2 linked regions of the Cricetulus griseus genome follow. The protein of the gene in region 1 purifies or fractionates together with the protein of each later gene. This does not show direct contact. Links are inferred from orthologs where the notes say so. Each region holds a gene or a part of one and is shown in the gene's direction. Other genes may lie near its edges.

Evidence for each region.
Region 2: the proteins of Ttc1 (region 1) and Vapa purify together in Homo sapiens (affinity purification with mass spectrometry; 5 studies listed by BioGRID and IntAct, counting the BioPlex papers as one, with this or other methods). This does not show direct contact. The link is inferred for Cricetulus griseus from reciprocal best matches to the Homo sapiens genes TTC1 and VAPA.

The regions. Positions count from the first base shown.
Region 1 is NC_048600.1:58,396,031-58,399,685, reverse strand, and holds part of Ttc1 (tetratricopeptide repeat protein 1), read left to right. Parts: intron 1-2,002; coding exon 2,003-2,039; intron 2,040-2,804; coding exon 2,805-2,953; intron 2,954-3,655.
Region 2 is NC_048595.1:454,539,504-454,543,158, reverse strand, and holds part of Vapa (vesicle-associated membrane protein-associated protein A), read left to right. Parts: intron 1-613; coding exon 614-736; intron 737-3,655. UniProt on the Homo sapiens protein: Endoplasmic reticulum (ER)-anchored protein that mediates the formation of contact sites between the ER and endosomes via interaction with FFAT motif-containing proteins such as STARD3 or WDR44.

The DNA.
Region 1 (3,655 bases):
CAGAGTGGTACAACAGCCCAAGAACTCAGCATGTCAGAGCAACTGAAGTGATACCTTACAGTAAGCAGGATGGCAGCAGTTATTCAAGAACTCCAAGTTTGCAAAAGAAGATATGCTGAACTAGCTGTTTTTCTTCTAAAGTAATGGTTCTGACCTTCCCTTCTAAAGCCTTCTCTTCATTCACATGAACAGGTGTTTTAAACTTGTCAGTGTTAAGTTGCAGCTTAAGTCTATAATTTCCATATACAGTCACTGATATCCCTCACCAAAATATTTAACCATTTTTAAAATACAATAGCTTTATATATGGGGGAAAAATAAAAGCCAACCAGACAGAGTCTTCCTTTGTAGCCCAGAGTGGACTCAACTTGGGATAAAAAGTGTGCTCAAACACACCTGGTTTTATGTGAAGCTGGGGCTGGAACCCAGGGCATTTGCACATGCTTGTACATTTACTAATTTCAGTATACAATTAAAGATTTTCACAACTTTGTTACGATAAATCTTTCCGCCAAAGCCGCCCGAGTTCTGCCCGACATGTGGATGGACAAAATAATGCAGACTTATATTAGGTACAAATGCTGCTTGGCCAATGAGTAGGATTTCTCATCTGCTAGCTCAGTTTTAATTATCATAAATCTATATATAAGACTTATCGGACGCCTTCCATTGGCACCCTCCCTTGCCGGTGGATCATATGGCACCACTGGAGGAGGTGAAGGGAAAAAAGGGGCGGACTTCCTGTTTTTCCTTGCTTAAATATGAGTCTCCTTGCTATGTCACTTCCTGCCTGGATCACCACTTCTCTACTACATTTCCCAGAATCCTCTTTGACTCCTAGTCCTGCCTAACTTGCTGCCTCATTGGCCAAACAGTACTTTATTTATCATCCAGTAAGACAAACACATACACAGAAGTACTTCCCCAATCACGTTGTTCAACCATCACTACTATCTAGTTCCAGAACTTCCATGACCCTGAAAGAATACTTCATACTTAACAACCAGTCACATAGCCATCCTAGAACACAGTTTAGATGCTGCTCTAGAGTGTTCTGTAAAATATTCAGTGTTTGCTAAAGTGATCATTATAGTTGTAGAACAGTTATATAAACCAACCTCTTTCTATGATATTGTACTACTGAGCTGAACAAAAGACATTTAAAGTTGAAGGCATGTTATCCAGCATTCAGTTCATCCTGCTAGTAAATGACATGAGAAACTAAGCCCTACTGAAGAAAAGTAACGTGGCTGTGTCAGAGCTGGGACCAGAATCCAGTTCTGTTGACATAGCTATGTTTCTAGAATCAGGCCATAAATCAGGTGCATTATTTAATGTGTTTATATTTCTGTTATCAGTGGGTAAGATAAGGTTTGTAACAGACAGTGTCCCTTTAGATGGACCCGATAGTTCCACTTTAGATGTGATAATGTAGCAGCTAGCTACTGAACAAGACTGGCTCATTATTCCGTATGTCAGTCTTGTTTATTGACTACAGAGTTTTCTCTGTTGACATTCTAATGTAAGTTGTCTTGCAGCATCTTAGGTGAGCAAAGAAAGTGCTTGTACATTTGTTACCAAGAGTCTTTCAGAGACGAGCTCACATTAACTTTGAATTTTATATTGGAAGTAACATGTATTTTCATGAGATTTCCTTGAACAGCATTCTTTTTTAATATTTATTTTTATTTTATGTGTGTATGGAGTGCTTGCATGTATGTATATATGCCATATGCATGCAAGCCTGATGCTCTCAGGGGATAGAAGAGGGTATCTGAACTTCTGAAACTCTAATTACAGCAAAGCTGCCATGTAGAGGTAACCAAACCCAGGTCCTCTGCAAGAATAGCAAGTGCTCTTATCTTCAGCACTGAGCAGTCTCTCCAAGCCCACATTCTTTATCTTCATACTCAACCCTGATGATCAGCTCATAGTAATGGGAGCTTGGCCCTTGAGATGAAACTAGAGGAATACAATATGTTAATGTCATCTTTCCTTACAGGACAAGAAGGAAATGGCCATCAATGACTGCAGCAAAGGTAAAACTTCTGTTGACTAAAAATATTGCCTCAGTGAGACAGACAGAGTTGGATATGTATTCAGGCGAGTCTCTCATACTGGGGCTTTTAAAGAAGCAGTTTATGGGATGACATTTTCAGAGGTACTGTGTGGGCATCATGTTAGGGTAAGCATGCTTTCAAGTGGATTTTCAGCCTATTATGTAGTCAATATGTAAAAACATTTGAAGCTACCTTGGCATCAGAACTCAAGTGTGGAACAGAATTTACCTCCCATAGCCTTCAAATTACCTGTCTTTGTGACTCATTGAGGATCTTAGTCTCTGAACTCACGCTCACAGCTGTTTAGGTATCTACATGTATGCATCATAGGCTAGAATCTATGTGTAGGGAGAACATAGAGTTTTTTTTTCTTTCTGAGTTTGAATCACTTCCCTTAATATTATACTTCCTAATTCCATTCATTTTCCTCAAGTTTTCTTTACAGCTGAATAATATTCCACTTTGTATATGTACTGCATTTTAAATCCCCATTTGTCTGTTAATGGGCTTGGTTCCCTATCTGTGCTAGCAGTAAACACTATCTCTGGAGCTCTCTAGATTTATGCCTAGGAGTGGAATAGAATAGCTGGGTTATATGGTAGTTCTGGTTTTAAATTTTTGAAGAATCTCCAAACTGAGTTCCATAGTAACTGTATTAATTTGCACCGCCAGCAGCAATGAATGAGGGCTCTTCCAAAGGTACATAGGACCGTTTCTTGTGATGACAGTTTCTTTTCTTTTTAGCAATTCAGTTAAACCCCAGCTACATCCGTGCAATATTGAGGAGAGCAGAGTTGTATGAGAAAACAGACAAACTAGATGAAGCACTGGAAGATTATAAATTGATATTAGAAAAAGATCCATCAATACATCAAGCAAGAGAAGCTTGTATGGTAAAACAAATTTTAAAGTATTTTCTTGGGATGGGTACAGTGGTGCTTGCCTTTAATTCCAGCACTCAGGGGGCAGAGGCATGTGGATCTCTGTGAGTTCAAAGCCAACCTGAACTATATAGCAAGTTCCAGATCAGCCAGAGCTATGTATTAGAGACCTTCCTCTGTCTCTCTCCTGCTACCTGCACCCCCCAAAAAAATCTGTTTCTTTTGCTTTGTACTCAGTGACTTTTTAGTCTTTTGGCCTACAACTAAATTCTATTTTTATGATTACCAAATATACGGGAGATAGATCTTTATGATGGCTACTTACTCATTGGGACCATGTACCATTTGATCTCCACTCTGAAAGTGACATGAACCAGCATGACAGCGCACTCCTGTAATCCCAGCACTGGAGCAAAAGAAACATAAATTTGGAACTAGCTGGACTATATAGAAAGACCCTATCTCAAAAAATTAATTAAGCAAAAACAATAAATGACTTGCATAAGCTTTTTTCTCTGTTGTATCAGGCATATTTTGTTACACATGGTTTAGTGAGTGTCTTCTAAAATTTTATATTACTTTGTGTGTATGAGTGCTTTGCCTGCATGTAAGTATGTATACCACATGGTACTCAGTGGCTGTGGAGGTTAAAAGAAAGCATCAGATCCCCTAGAAATGGAGTTAATGGGTGATTTTGAACTATGCTTTTGTATT
Region 2 (3,655 bases), on another chromosome or scaffold:
GAATGGAGCAGGAGTCAGGAGCCTTCTGTATTTCAGAGTACATGCTACTTTTGTTGAGACAGAATAGATTGGATGTCTGTTAAATACTATTTTGTGCCAACCTTGTTGAGTTACTCTATGTTAACTATACTAAGAGGACTTGAGGTAAGTTGGGAACTGTGGATTTACGATAGGCTAACCAGAGTGTTAATCAGTCTTTGGGTTTTAATGGCCTGCTGTGTGTTTGGGAGGTGACGGGGCCCTGAGAATAAAAGAGGCCTACAGATCATTAGCAGTTTTTAGCTTTCAAGGGAAAAATGTTCACGTCAAGTGTTATCAAAGGTAAGAGAACATGAAGCTGAATATTTTTCAGATAATGACAAGTATGAGTTGTTTTTGTTTTTAAAGTATATACATTTAAGTGGAAGTATGCAAAAGGCCATACCTAGTTTTGTGTGAGAAATAATACGAAAAGCCAGTTTTGCTTTGATGTTCTGTTTCTTATGCATTATTTTTATGGAATAAGATGTCAATGTTTTACAGGCTAAAGCTATTTGTGTTAGTCATTCCCAATATCATACAGGAGAAATCAGTTTGGTATGAATCTGAGAATATTTTTCCCATGCTACCTCAGGGTAAAACTCCACCAGGGATTGCTTCAGCTGTCACTTCAATCAGCACCGTCAGCAACACAGTTGCAACACCTGCCAGTTATCACATGAAGAATGATCCCAGGGAGCTAAAAGAGCTGAAGCAGGTTTGTCATAGGAGCTAACAGAAGTAGGCGTCTACTAGTGTTAGTAAGTTAATGTAGATACCTTACCTAAGGAGATAAGTAATATTGAGTGTATTAAAGGTTAGAATTTTAAAAAGCCTTTTTGAAGCAATATCTCATGTTGCCTAGATTGGCCTCTAAACTCATTGTGAAGCCAAGGATGACAAACTTCTTACCCTCCTGCCTCCACTTAGAAGTGCTGAGACTGCACCTGGTTCTGTGTTGGGGCTGGAGAGAGCCCAGGACTTCTGCATGCGGGCAGCCTACTGACTGTCACCATCCTCAGCATTCACACTTGAAGCTGATTTTAAAATTACAATAGGGCTGAAAGGTACAGGGACAGCTCTGCTCTGAAACAATGGTCAGTGGAGTCACAGTTGGACATAAAAGTGAACACTGTTGAGTTCGTGTGGCTTTTCCCTTGAACGAGATTTGGGGAGCATATGCTGAAAATTGAATTTGTAGCTTGTTTGAATTAGCCTAGAAGGTACATAGTAATTAGTGAGAGTGAGAGCTGGCAAACACTGCTTTTCAACAAGCATTTGTGTTTGCATAAAGAAAATACAAGAATAGTAACCTTTATTTACCTGTAATGCCCTGGGATTTAGAAAAAATTTTCTGACTAAAATTGAGGCCATAATTTACCTCTGCATGTATATCGTTGAATGCTAATAAGGTTAGGGTATCTGAGTTTGTTGGTAGAATGGGTTCTGTGTAATTCTTTTAAGCATTTATTACTTACAGGAAAGTTCAGAAATGTTTATACGTTCTTGTTCTTCTGATTTGACTTAGAATAGGATATACATAAAAGAAGGCTTTAAACATTTTTAGATTTCATTTTACATGTGTGGGTGTTTGCCTACATGTTGTGTGTATGCACACCACTTGTACCTTATGTCAGTGGAGGTCAGCAGAGGCATCAGGTCCCCTGGAACCAGGGTTACAGATGGATGTGAGACACCATGTTGGTGCTAGGAATCAAATCCAGGTCTTCTGGAAGAACAGCCAATTTTTTTTTTTTTTTTAAACAGTTGAACCATCTCTAGCCCCCTTACCAAGGCTTTATTTTTTATTTTTTTCAAGACAGGGTTTCTCTGTGGCTTTGGAGACTGTCCTGGAACTAGCTCTTGTAGACCAGGCTGGCCTCGAACTCACAGAGATCCATCCTCCTGCTAATAAGGCTTTAAAAATACCTTTCATTAGCTGAGTGCATTGGTGCAGTTGATGTACACTAGGGAGGCAGAGACAGGCACAGAACTCTCGTGAGTCCAGGGCTAACCTGGTCTGTATAGCTAGTTCCAGGCTATCTAGGACTGCATGGTGAGACCTGTCAACAAATCTTTTATCTAAATTTTTAATTCTGTTTGGCCTTATATTTGGAATTATTTTTTTGTAATCATGGGCCTAGAGAAACCATGCATTTGCTGTTAGATTAGGAAGAAAAAACATTCAGAGAGCATTGTTGTTCAGATACTTCAATTCACAGATTAAAACTTTAATTCTGACAACATAGCCATACACCGTCTTTATGTATTGACAACCCTTTACTCAACACAGTGATGAAAATGTCCTTTAGTTCCTGTCTTCACAGAATGCATTGCAAATGCTTGTAGATTTGACCTTGACTTTCTATGTGTAGTCCCTAGCTCCTTTCTGATAGCCCCTACAAAGTTAGTACAGTGGAAATCTCTGTGTGGGGCTACCGCAGACAGGCAGAAAGAATACAGTGGTGGAGAATGTATGGCATACAGTCTTGACACTGTAGCCTATTCTCACCCGAGGTGCTAAGGTTGGCTTATTTCATGGTCCTAGTCCCCTGTCTGCTGGGATTAATGGTGAGCATTACACCCCACATTTATTTGGGACTTTAATTTTTTATTTTAAAGTCATTAGAATTCCCCTCTCTCCACTACTAGCTTCATATATATCATTCTGTAGTCAACACTGGGCCAACAGTATGATTTTCTTCTGCATTTTTTGCTCCTGTACTTGGGGTTGAGCCAATGACCATTATGTGTGTGAGGCAAATGCTCTGCTGCCCAGCACTGTCTTCGTTGTTAGGCAACACTTGAGGACTCGTCTGTTGTTGAGTACTGCCTGCCTTACAGAGGGAGGCACATGCTTTCCCCTTTGAAATTCAGGTTGGGTTGTGCAGGATGGGGTATGAAAACTCAGTTTGAAGTGAATTTTAATTATTGTCAAGAAAATAGAGTAAATATTTTAGCAAAATATATCAGGTACAGACTTTTTATACTAGAGATGGACTTGGTTGGACATTAGGGAGATTGCGGTAAAGAACAAATGTCAGCAGGAGAAACTCAGAGCAAATTGAGGTAATTAAGTCTCTTCACACTTGAAAAGTGGGAAATGTGCGGGCAGGTCAGGTAGTCAGGGTTGTGCACTAGAACCCCTTGTTGCCCTCAGAAAGTACTGGCACGGGCAGCTTCAGGAAGAAGACTTGGTTTGAGGAGCAGTGCAGTCTAGCACCAGTAGCTGGTAGTCTGCAGGCAGGAGACAGCGGTGAATGCTGGTGCTCATTGCTCTTCCTTTTTTTTTTTCTGTTGAGGACCCGCCCATGTGACGGTGCCACTCACTCACTCACTCACTCACTCACTCACTCACTCACTCACTCACTCACAATTAGGGTCTGTTGCCCCATCTCGATTAACCCAGTATAGAAAAGAAAGAATTTTGCAGCCCTAGGTGATTCTAGACCTGTCTGGTTGACAGCATTAACACTGTAGTCCCATTGGCCACCAGAGTGGTTCTGCACAGTCTCTGATCCTGGTACAGATGACTGCTGTGTGATGCTGTGAAATGTAATTTGGTAAATGCCTTGATCAGCAGTTTATATCTGCATAAAGCTTGCCCTTTTTATGTATTTATTTGTAGTGTTTATGT